3 linked regions of the Oryctolagus cuniculus genome follow. The protein of the gene in region 1 purifies or fractionates together with the protein of each later gene. This does not show direct contact. Links are inferred from orthologs where the notes say so. Each region holds a gene or a part of one and is shown on either strand. Other genes may lie near its edges.

Region 1 (3,616 bases):
TGGAGCAGACCCTGGATGACCACTCCTCCTCCATCACGGCCATTAAGTTTGCTGGTGAGCCCCTTCCTGCCTGTCCCTGCGCTTTGTTACATGGGTTCCTTTGCTTGCAACAGCAAAAATTCCCACTAGAATTAGATGGAACAGAAGGGAGAGAAGAAAGCTCTGGGTTCCCACGTCTAGCTGAATCCAAAGGAGGAAAAAAAATATTTTAATTATCAGGTCTCTGTCTCTGAGCTATGTCTTTGGGAGCAGGATCTTGTGCCCCTGGAAAGATAATTTCCTCTCTTCCAACTTGAGGAACCTGCCCTTCCCAGAAGCAGTTACTGGTGCCAGGGCCTTGGGACCTGTCTTGGGCCACAGCTGACCCATGTGTCCCCTGTCCCCACCTACTTCCACCTCCTGACCCAGGGGACTGGCAGTCCCCAGAAGGGGACTGGGGTGCTGAGCCTGTGAGAAGATAGGATAGGCATTGGTAACCTTGGCGGGAGAACAGGTGATCACAAGGATTGCGGGGGGCTATTTCTGTGACTAGATACGGATTCTTCCTGGTTTTTTCCTTTGTGCCCCATTTTCCGGCCACAGCCGCACGCGAGCAGGTGAGGAGCCTAGGGACTTGCCTAGGGCTGTGGGCCCCTCTCTGGAGTGGCCTCTGGCCAGTCTGGAAGAATGCAGAGCTAAACCCGACTTCTGGGTGTCCATCTGTGGCTGAGCTGGCTTCCCCAGTAGAAACCAGGTGCTGCCAGTCCCAGCCTGGTTGAAGCTGCCCTGCTAAGGAATTCAGTCACTCAACCTTTCCATAGAAATAAGTGAGCACAGAATCTGTGCATAATTTACGGAGGATCACAGTGAAAGTTCACATCCAAGTTCATCATCAGGAGCTCTGGACTGGGACAGGTGCGCCCACCGTGTATAGCCAGGGACAGTTCTGATTGCCTGTGGTTTGAATGTTGTTAAATATTGGCTGCACCCACTGCAGATTAAGCAGAACATCACCCATGGGGTGCAGGCACTCCCTGGGTCACTCCCAAGTCATGCTGCCTCCCCGACACAGGGCTCACGTCCTTGTGAGTGCCAGCGACTCCTGTGTGACAGGCCGGCTTCTTTCGGATGTGCTGTGCTGAAGGCAGCTTCTGCTGTACCAAGACTCCTTCGTGTTCTTGTTCTCGTCCCCACCACAACTCTTATTCTGTAAAGAAACGAGAGCTATAGAGCAATAGGAGGTTGTGTTGTCTGCCCCATGGTGGCCCCTACCCCCAGGGCTTCGTGCAGCTCTCGGGGGCAGGGCTGTGATTAGGCCGAGCGTAGGCAGAGAGCTGAGGCTCAAGAGAAGCCCGGTTCCGAGCACAGTGGTCAAGGCTTTGACTCTGGCAGCGAAGAATGCCTGGTCCAGAGCGGAGCTTGTCCTGGCTCTCTGTGGGCCCCAGGACAGGACTCTGTCCCATGTTGATCTGTATACAGGGTGGAAGGTCAGGCTGGCGCCCGGGGCCTGATCTGAAGTTGGTGGGGATCTTCTCGATGATGTGGGCCTCCCGCCTGTCTTACCGCCCCTCTGCTGCTAGAGTCCCCTGTCTGAATGCCACGCTAGAGATGGTGTCCCTCTGTGTCACGAGCTTTGGGTCCCTCTCTGATCTTGTTCTGCAGAGGCCTGCCCTGCGGGTTGATGGCCCTTGCAGCAGAGTTCCCTAGCTAGGGCCCCCAGCCTGTGCAGCTCCCATGTCAGAGGCATTGCCTCCTCTTCCCCCAGGCCACAGAGACATCCAGATGATCAGCTGTGGGGCCGACAAGAGCATCTACTTCCGCAGTGCCCAGCAGGTAGGTGCCGTGTCCTCGAGGGTGGGGGCCGGGGGGCGTGTTGGGTGTCCTCACTTTAGTCCTGCCTACCCGCCAGGCCTCAGATGGGCTCCACTTTGTCCGTACCCACCATGTGGCAGAGAAAACCACCTTATATGACATGGACATTGACATCACCCAGAAGTACGTGGCCGTGGCCTGCCAGGACCGCAACGTGAGGTGAGGAACTGCCCTGCGCCCTTAGCTGGACCTAGCCGGGCTTCTCCTGGGCTGTCTGCTTTCCTCCCCTTGCTCATCTGACCCCGGAGAAGCTGGGAGGGGCGCAGGGACCCAGCACGTGTTTCTTAGAAGCTGAGCCCTCCCAGGCCTTGCTCCCACATCCACAGAGGGTTCCCTTCTGGTCTCCTGGGACCCGTGTGGGGTGACTCAGTCATGTGCATTCCCTAAGTCCTCTCTGGGCAGTGCGGTGTTGGGGTCACAGCTATAGCCAGGATAGTCCCCGGCCTTCCTTCATGGAGCTTATGGTCCAGAGAGTGACAACACAGGGTGATCAGGGCTGGGTCCCAGGGCTCTGGGGAGCTCCCTGACCTCTGGAGGGAGAGACATGTAGTTGAGCCCAGGGGATGTGGAGGAGCGAGCTGGGGAAGGCCAAGCGGCAGAGGGCAGAGGCATGCAGGGCTCTCTGCTGCTTCATGGCTTGTTCAAACTGGGCACAAGAGGGAGGCAGGCGTTCACTCAGTGCATCTCCCACTACAGAAGCTCCCTCACCTCACAGAGCTGGGTCTCAGTCCCTGAGACAGGGCTTCTGTCCAGGCCCCGGATGGGGGCAGGAGATAACAGGATTCCAGGGCAGAGGAACCAGGACCAGCTGGTAGGAGGGCACGGGCGGGCAGGGCCCTGTTGGCTGCATCGTGCCCCCTCCCCACCAGGGTCTACAACACCGTGAACGGGAAGCAGAAGAAGTGCTACAAGGGCTCCCAGGGTGATGAAGGATCCCTGCTGAAGGTGAGGGGTGGGAACTCCCATCCTGGGCCGCCTGCCCTGTGTCCTTAGTGCTTAAATGATCGCAGGCTGCCAGTGTCCACTTGGGCCTGGTTAGCCGAGGAAGCTGGGGATGGGGCGTGGGGGGCCCTGACTGTGGTCCCTCTATTTACTGAGCCCTGCCTCAGGCAGGGGCGTTTGGGTGGGTTCTGTTTTGAGTGGCAACAGAGTTGGAGGAAGAACCTGAGAGGCATGGACTCATCTCCGGGCCTGGCCCTGCTGGACACAAGGTGGAGGCCTCAGAGCCTCTGGCCTACTGAGTTGGTAATACCGAGTTCAGGCTCCAAGCTCAGCCCCCGCTCTGCCTCACTCTGCGTGTGATCCTGTTCAAGTGTCAACTCTGGCGCCTGTTTCATTGCCTGTAAACAGCAGATAGAAACCGCTCCTGTCCTAGGCAGTTCTGTGAAGGGGTCAAGTTCGGCCAGGTGCAGTGCTTAGCACGGGACCCTGCTACCGTCATGCTGTGGTAGTGGGGAGCAGGAGCCCCCTCCCCTGCCTGGGTGCATCGTGAGGACTCCTGGCACGATTTCCTGCGCTGGGGGTCCTGCAAAGGGCTGGGCCTCCCCCTCTGGGGTGCTGGGCTGTCTGGCCCAGGCCTCACAATAGGAAGAAGCCGAGGGGCTGAGTGACACTTGGGTCCTCTTCCCGGCAGGTCCATGTGGACCCCTCAGGCACCTTCCTGGCCACAAGCTGCTCTGACAAAAGCATCTCAGTGATCGACTTTTACTCGGGCGAGTGTGTTGCCAAGATGTTCGGTCACTCAGGTGGGTGTGTTTGGCTGCTC
Region 2 (4,121 bases), on another chromosome or scaffold:
ATAACTTTGCCTGTCAAAAATAAAAAATAAAAAAAGATGTCATTCTGACTATGCCACTCCCCCCAACCACCCCCACCCCCACTGCAGAACCTGTCAGAAAGAAAGACCTTCAGCAGGGCCAGTATGGCTGTACTAGGCGTGGGGTTTGTTATACCCACAGTATAACAAAGACCCAAATCACCCTTCACTCTGTCTAATGATGAACAGATGTTAAAATAATCTGGCACATTTCTCTTTTTAAAAAATTTACTTATTTATTTGAAAGGCAGAGTTACAGGGAGAGAGAGAGAGATCCATCTGCTGGTTCACTCCCCAGATGGTCGCAATGGCTGGAGGTGGAGCTGTGCCAGTCCGGACCTAGGGATCCGGAGCTTCTTCTGGGTCTCCCATGTGCATGCAGGGGCCCAAGCACTTGGGCCATCCTCTGCTGCTTTCCCAGGCCATTAGCAGGGAGCTGGATGCGAAGTGGAGCAGCCAGGACTCGGACAGGAGCTCATATGGGATGCCCGCATCGCAGGCAGCAGCTTTACCGCCTAAGCCACCGCGCCGGCCCCTGGCACATTTCTTTCCAGTTTTTTCCCCCTAGGTACTAGGCAGTACTGACACGGATCACTCCGTGTATGTGGGTGTCCTTGTTGCTTCTTTGTCTTTCCCAATTTGGTAACACTTCCTCGAACACATTCCTAAAACGTGCTCTATAGCACGCCTGACAGTAACGCAGGTGCCTTCCTCCTGTTGTTGGGTCTTTAAGGACCTGTCAATTTCTCTGAGGAGCTTCAGCTGTAAACCCGGCAATGCAAGGAATCCGGACTAGGTGCGTTTTCAGAAAACAAACAGGAGGCTAATAAAGGCCTTGGATTTGCCTCCGGACGCCGGGCCCCAGGCGGGTGTCCTCAGTATGCAGAGTCCAGTCGGTCACGGTAACCGGCTCCGGTCTCCCAGGTGTGCGCCCAAGTGGGTGCACCTGCTCGCCGGGTTGGTATGACCTTCCACGCCCGGGGCGAGGAGCCCTGCAGGTGCAGGCGCGCATCAGCGGACCGCCGCGGGGCAGCCGCCACCCGCCCGGGCCACGCGCCGCCACGTGCCGCCACCGGGACCCCGCCCGCACCGGCCCGCGGCCACGCCCCTCGCACGCGGCTGTCGGGCGGCGCTCCGGGGGCTCCTCCTCCTGGCGACCTCCGCGGCGGGTAGCCCCGCCCCCGGGCCGCGGCCCCGCCCCCGCAATCCGGGCCCCGGGGCGCCCCGCCCCGCGGGCCGCTCGGAGGCGCGGGGGGCGGGGCTCTGCGCGATGACGTGGGCGGGCGTGCGCGGTGACGGCCCGCGCGTCCCTGTTACTCAGCGGAGCGGCCGAGGCCGGACGACGCAGCCTGGAGCGCGGAGCCGCGAGCTGCGCTGGGTAACGGCCGCGGCGACCGCCCGGACGGCGCCCGTGCCCGCCGGCGGGCTTCCCCGTCGCTGTTCGCCGCGCTGCCGGGTGAGTGTGGCGGGCGCCGCGGCTGCCGGCGGCCCCGCCGTGTTTATGTTATTGTGCGGCCGCCGCCGCCTTCTCCTCAGCCGTGAACCCCTCCCCGGGCGTGGGGGCGGGCGCGCGCGGCGGGCGGGGGCGGCGCGGGAACAATAGCGGCCCCGGAGGCGGGGGCGGCCGCGGGGGGCGTGGGGCCGCGGGCGCCGGACGCGCGCCCCGGCTCGGCGCCCCGGGTCGGCTCGGCCCGGCCCGGCCCGGCCCGGCCCGCGCGCGCGCGTCGCTGTCGTTGCACGCCCTCCTCGCGGGGGTCCCGCTTGCGCGTCGGGAGGAGAAGATGGGGGTGGGCGGCAACTTGGGAAGCACTTGGGCGAAGGGGGCCCGGGCGGCCCGCGGCGCGCAGCCGACTCCCCGGCGCCGGGGGCCGGCGCGCTGGCGACAGGGTCCGCGCGCCCGCCCCGGCGCCCACGGGGACCGTGTGTGTGTGCGCGTGTCGCTCGGCGAGGTTCCTTTGTGCGCGGGCTTCCTAGTCGAAGGCGGCCTGGGGGAGGCCAGGCCCCGCGGCCCGTGCGTGGAGGGTGCCCCTCGATCCCGGCCCCGAGCCTGCGTGGCCAGCGCGCGTGTCCCCGCTGCGGGTCACTTCGGTGGTGACCTCTGGGCTGCTTCTCCCCACCGTGCCGTCGCTTTGTCTGCGCTGGCGTTCCCGACCCCCGGCGGGTGGTGGAAGCGAGGCCGCCTTGGACACTGTGGCGTCTTCAAGTTCCCCCTCGCGTCTGTACTGTGCGTGGATCGCCGTGTTGACCGCGCGGTAGGAGACAATGTCCGGTGGTCGCTGTTTGTAGATGCGGTGGTCTTTCCGGTGGAATTCTGGTCTGTCAGCTAAGCATCCAGTGCCTGCTTGAAGCGAGAACATCCGTGTGTGTGTGTGTGTGTGTGTGTGCGCGCGCGCGTGTGTTCCATTCATTCATTCATTCATTCATTCGGCAGCTGCTCCCTACTGCGCCCACAGGGGAGAGGTTTGCATGTAAAGGGAAGACGGCCCTCAGTGGAGGAGGAAGCCTTGGTTGCAGTGTAGCAGATGTGCCTTTAAATGAGATGGTTATATAAGCGATGCGTGTGTGGAGGTAGAGTTGTGCGCTGGGTCATTTTACTAGTTTTTAACAGAATCTCTGGAAGTTCAAGTAAAATGTTATACGAGGAGATAGTTATCTTTGATCTAAATCCACAATAGTTTTTACTTTCAAAAAATTTTTTATTTTTTTTGCCCAGTCTTCGAGCCCTGTGGTCATTTGGGATGGCTACCTCAGACCCGGCCGCCGCGGTTAACGTGAAACCCAGGAGGTCCGAGGCTGTGGTGCTGAGTCTGACTAAAGCCTGGGACTTCCTGGAGAGCAGGCCTGTCTTCCATCTGTTTCTCTTTTTCTAGCCGGGGAAATAGTAAGTGCTCAATACAACTTTTATTAACGTTCATATGGTTTGCGGAAGGTTCCTGCGATTCTCTTCCACATAGCCAAACGATCGGTTTCATATAATAGGAGATGGGTTATGGGCTTTTGAGTCACTTTGGTGTCATTCCCCCCCATCCCCCCCCACCCCCCGTCACTTCTAGGCCATCCACTATCCTAAAATAAAACCTTGTCTAAGTGTTTTCTGGTGATTCATAAAGTAAGTTGGATTGTAGGGGCCAAGGCGTGTCGTGTACGTGTACACACACACAGAGTGGTATTTTAGTAGGAGGCTGAAATGATTGCGTTTATCTTCTTGTAAGTATTGAGAGGTTTTTGACTACTTCTTTCAGTAGAAAAGCTAGAAAAAAGGATATAGACTGTGTAAATGTTTTATTAGAAATATGTAACTTCTAATAGGATTTTAGAAGCATTAATTGGAAATGTTTAACTCCTTATATTAACACTTCATGACGCATGTGGGACTAAAACTCAAAATAATACCTAATTATTCAAGTTATAGCTGTTTCCCACTCACTGCTAAGTACATTTTCACATTTGTTTTGATATGAAAGAAGTTGAGGTGAACTTACTGTTTGATGTCTAGTAGAAATGAAGAAATAATAAAGTGATACTTTATTAAAATACGGAATGATAATCTTGAGATACCAAATTTTAATTGCTTTACCAAGTTAGTCAGATGTCAGGATCCAGTAGGGCTTACTGATAAAAACCCTTTGGTCAGGCAATTTAAAGAACTAGAGTTGTGGCTGCTTTTTTTTCCCTAAATTTTTTTTTAATAGCATTCTTTACATTTAATTCACATATCATAAAATTCATCCTTTTAGAGTGTTCCATTTCAGTGTTTTTTTAGTATGTTCACAAAGTTATATATTGATCACTGCTTTTAAATTCCAGAGTATTGTCATCAGCCAGGGAAGAAACCCCATGCCTATTAGCAATCACTCAGCATTTGAAAAATGTTTTAAAGGGAGAGATGGCGCTGCTTCTGTTAACTAAATCCATGCCTTTAATGACTTTGCAAAGGGCACCTTTGAGTGTCCTGGAGGAACAGGAAACTGTCCTTCATACCTCTTCACATTGGAAAAGGACTCAGAGGAAGAGTAAATTGTATCAAAATTAATTCACCTAGAATCTTCAGTATACCCTTACTTTATATTACGGAAATGACCTGTGGTGATCCACGGTGTTTA
Region 3 (4,254 bases), on another chromosome or scaffold:
GCTCCTGGCTCTGGCTTCGTATTGGCACAGGCTGTTGCGGCCAATTGGGGAGGGAACGACCGGATGGAAGACCTCTGCCTCTCCTCTCTCTGTGTAATTCTGACTTTCAAATAAATAATCTTTAAAAAAAAAAAAAAAAGACAACAACTCTGCTTAATCATAAAAACAGCAGCAAACTAGTTCATCCTCGTCAAAGACCAGTAACATCCATCTTCTTCCTCTGCAGCCTGGCTGGGCTGAACCGAGGTGTCCGTTAAGGCACCTGGTCTGCTCCCGCCTAGTAGGCCCTGGATACCTAGGGCCTAGGCACAGAGGTTCGGAGCAACTCACCCCGGAGACTCCGTTGATACTTCCCCAGAATCTCCTCCAGGGAAGAGTTCCCTGGGGACTTCGCCATGCACAGACTCTGGGCCAAGAGATGCGAGTTACGTGGGTTATCGTCCAGTGTTCTCCCTTCCAACAACAGCCCTAGCGCCCGCCCGCCTCCTGCCGCAACTGTCACTGGGGAGCCTGGAACCACGGACGCAGCTCGTGGGGTCTCTTCCCACCCTCGAGCCCTCGTGATGGACATTGGGAGTTGTAGTTCTAAGGCTCTGGCTCTACAGCCTCGAGAATCCTAAGAACCTTCCAGCTGCACTACATTTCCCAGAGGGCACTGCGCTCCTGGCGTTGGCTTCGGCGGTTTGGCTACCACAGATCGTTGCCACGAGACCGGCTTGCGGGCTCCTCCCTTTTCCTCTAAGCCAGCCTGGCTAGTCCCGCCTTCACCCTGTCCTGCAGCAGTCCGGACCACCCGGCTGACAGAAAGGACTTTCTGAAGGCCCGGACGCTTCGATCTTTACTAATATGCAATTGATCCTTCAGGCTTCTCTGGGAAGCGAATAATCTCTGAACCCTCCTTCGGTCGCGACATTTGTCAAAACGGTCCAATTCTTAAGAAATAAGAAACTCTAACTCTCCCAAACAGCCTGGCTTGTAAAGGCGGCCAACACTACAACTCCTAGCATGCCAAGCAACCCGACCTCCTCTTGCAGTTGGCGCACTGCCCGCCGGGAATTGTAGTCCTCGTTGGTTGCAGGTCCCCGCTAGAGCCAGAGTTCTCTTCATTGTTCAGGCCGGTCTTTGGGGACACGCCTGCGCAGTGGGCAGCAGGCAAGGCGTGTGAGACCCTCCGCACAACCCCCTTTCATTGTCTGTGTCTGGCGCCTGCGCAGTAAGAGATCGCTGGGACTGGGCTGGAGGAGTGGATAGGGCCCAGCACCTCGCCCTTTCCCCAGGCGCCTGCGCAGTCAGCGACCGCTCTTTGCCGTTACCGCTATGTGTGGGGCGTGTGTGGAATAACGTTATTGCCCTGCGGAACCGAGGGGCCGGGAGCTCGACCGCAGCTGCAGCGACGAAGGCAGCAGCGGCGGAGACGACGACGACGACGACGGGGTGGGGGAGAGGACGGCGTGCGAGAGACTCACGGGACGCGACGCGCCCCGCCTCCCCCGTCCGGTCCCTCTCTCTTCACGGTGAGGGGTAAGTGATGCGCTCCGCTGCCTCGGGGTGGACGCCGCCGCCGCCTCTGCTTTTCCACAGCCTGCTCGGATTTGCGCCGGGGGCTCGGGGCGCGGCCCCTGGCGTGGCGGGGGTGCAGGGAGAGCCTTCCCGGATGCTCCGCGCGGCGTTACCACCCCCATCGCCCAGGACCTGGGGCTCGGCGGGGCCGCTCCTCCCATCCCCCCATCCTTGATGGCCTCCGGTCCTCGCTCCCCACCCTCCGCCGTCGTCTGGGTCCTCCCGGGCCCGTGGCCGCGGTCTCCGCCTCCCCTAAGTGTACTGAATCGCTTGCAGCTCCCTCCCGGCTTTGTGCAACCCTCCCCCATCGTTGGAGCAGTTTGCGAGGGGTGCGGGCGGAGCATCGGAAGGAATGGCTGCGCTGCCGCTGGGGAAGGGATTTTTTTTTTTCCCCAGTGGGAGCAGCTCCCAGGGCCGAGTCTTTTTGTGTGGTTGGATTTTGGGGTATGAGGCAGTCGGGGGAGGTCAGGCGAGGGCCCTTTGCACGCGTTGGGAGGGCGTGGAAGACGCGGTGTCACGCACCCTGCCAGGCGACTGCACCCGGGGTACATCTCTAGCTGGCTGGATTGTGAACCCCGGGGAAGGGAGAGCGACTTCCTGTCGGCTTCATTGTCCTAAGATTCAAATACAGCGTTTTGGGTCCGCTTCCCTTCCATTTTCTGCGAGGGGGAGAAATACTAGCAGTGTCTTAACACCGGGCGGGAAGACGTGGGATTCGTCTCCCCAGTCGCAGCATCTCTGTTTTGTGGCGTTCGGTAGAGTTTTGATTTATTTTGTCGAAGAATGTGGGGGAAGACACGGACCGTGCTTGCCAGAGTGCACGCACTGTCAAGGTGATCAATGTAAAATTACTAGATGACGTTGAAGGCTGGGCGAGAAGGGGCCTGACAGCCGAGCGGGTGTGTAGCAGGGAAATGAACCAGGAGAATTGTTTTTTTTTTCCACTGGGTGGGTAACGCATGCATGGGTCCTAAGGGAATAGATGAAGCTACGTCTTTCCCTTTTATGTTTTAAAGCAATCCAAACAAAAATAAGGATTGGTGTATTTGTTTCTGAAGCTGTTTGCTCATTTTTATTCTCTTCATGAAAATTCAGCCGTTTGGGAGGAATTTGGTGAAGTGGATGATCCATGCGATTGAAAATGCGTCTTTTAAAATGATTTGCTTGTTAGGATTGTAATGCTTGTAACCATTTGCTGGCGTCTCTGTGTAAAATAAGCCCAAGAAAGAATGAAGTAGGCTGGGGGAGAAGATGGAGGAGTAGTGTGAGTTATATTATAAATACAGTTTCTAGATCTTTACTGATACAACCCTAATTGGGTAAACTTCAAAGCCAGGAAGAAATTCAGCTATCAAATTGTTTTGTAGTTTTCTGCCATTATTTTTTTGAAAAGTGAAAACCAGCACTGTTCTTAGTTCTTCCTAACTTCATAGATACTGTAGAATTTTGCTTTTTTTTTTTTTTAAACGGAACAGTCGCTTGAAAAAAACTAAAACTCACTGATTTGTCTGCCCAAGCCAATGTGCTAACAGAAAGCACAGTCAAATAAAACCAAGGTCTGTTCTACAGAGTGATCTTTACTGTGTGCCCTCACCTTCCACCCTGTGAACATTTATGGAAAGCTTCTGTACTTTTTAATTTGTGTGTAACAGTAAACTTAATTCTCTCACTTGTATTAATCTAGTCCTTCTTTTTGTGATGTAGAAGTAGTAATTCTACTGAAACTGAATTTTAGCTTTACAAAGTAACTTACTAATAAGGGAAGATACCCTAACAGTTCTTTTCATGAAAACAAACTGTTGGAATGTTTTCACTTCTACTTATTAGTAACCATATTTTAATATTATTTCTTGAAATTTAATAGTATTTTATAATATTATGTTCAACTGTGAACTGTTAAAAATAATATTTCTCCATACTAAAAAGCTATGAAGCTTATTTTTCTATGATTAATGAATTTTATTGTTTTCAACTTAGAGTTTCCCTTTGAGAAATGTCATCTTTCTGTTTTTAATTGGGTCGACTTTATAAAAAAAAAGGGGGTTTTATTTATGTCAACTCATAATTTCAGTTCTTTAATTCTGCATTGCATTTTAATAGATATTTTCTTTAGAATTTATTTCACTTTAATTTCAATTTAAGAAGCCTCTGTCATTAAGTTCAGTATGGGGAATCATATTGAAACTTTAAATGCATTTTGCTGGTAAATTTCATGGTGTTCCAAAATTATTTTGTATGGAAATAATCTGCATGTTTCCTGTCCTATTTATCTGTAAACATAAGCATACACTGTGTGTGTGTGCGTGTGTGTGTGTATGTATGTATGTATGTATGTATTAAGGTGCTTTTTGAAACTCTGTACTTGGTGATTTGTTTCATTTGTTCTAAGCATCAGTTTCATGTTCCTTTTACCTACCGGAAAAAAGTTTTATTGTTATATTTGATAATAATTAATGTTCATTACCAAATACTGTATGTATTTAAGGTTTTGTGAACATGTTTTTTATTCAACAGAAATCTGTTCCTGAAAAATACTTCATACTATTTTAATCAATATGTAATGATTTTTTCTTCTGTATCTTAAACATCTTGGGGTTAAATAGTGTGCTAGTGTAGTAAATATCCAACCGAAACTGTGATGTTTCATTACCAACTAAAATGTCTTTCCAGTTGGAGATTATTCTGCAGATGTAA

What was found.
Region 2: the proteins of WDR62 (region 1) and MAPK8 purify together in Homo sapiens (affinity purification with mass spectrometry; 5 studies listed by BioGRID and IntAct, counting the BioPlex papers as one, with this or other methods). This does not show direct contact. The link is inferred for Oryctolagus cuniculus from reciprocal best matches to the Homo sapiens genes WDR62 and MAPK8.
Region 3: the proteins of WDR62 (region 1) and CEP170 purify together in Homo sapiens (affinity purification with mass spectrometry; 3 studies listed by BioGRID and IntAct, with this or other methods). This does not show direct contact. The link is inferred for Oryctolagus cuniculus from reciprocal best matches to the Homo sapiens genes WDR62 and CEP170.

Annotation. Positions count from the first base shown.
Region 1 is NC_091449.1:19,661,734-19,665,349, forward strand, and holds part of WDR62 (WD repeat-containing protein 62), read left to right. Parts: coding exon 1-54; intron 55-1,744; coding exon 1,745-1,812; intron 1,813-1,888; coding exon 1,889-2,010; intron 2,011-2,720; coding exon 2,721-2,796; intron 2,797-3,484; coding exon 3,485-3,596; intron 3,597-3,616. UniProt on the Homo sapiens protein: Required for cerebral cortical development. Plays a role in neuronal proliferation and migration.
Region 2 is NC_091446.1:81,312,055-81,316,175, forward strand, and holds the start of MAPK8 (mitogen-activated protein kinase 8), read left to right. Parts: upstream 1-1,273; 5' UTR 1,274-1,474; intron 1,475-4,121. UniProt on the Homo sapiens protein: Serine/threonine-protein kinase involved in various processes such as cell proliferation, differentiation, migration, transformation and programmed cell death.
Region 3 is NC_091444.1:63,281,654-63,285,907, reverse strand, and holds the start of CEP170 (centrosomal protein of 170 kDa), read left to right. Parts: upstream 1-1,380; 5' UTR 1,381-1,521; intron 1,522-2,069; exon of another isoform or gene 2,070-2,393; intron 2,394-4,254. Other genes in the region: SDCCAG8 (serologically defined colon cancer antigen 8), read right to left, coding at 331-571.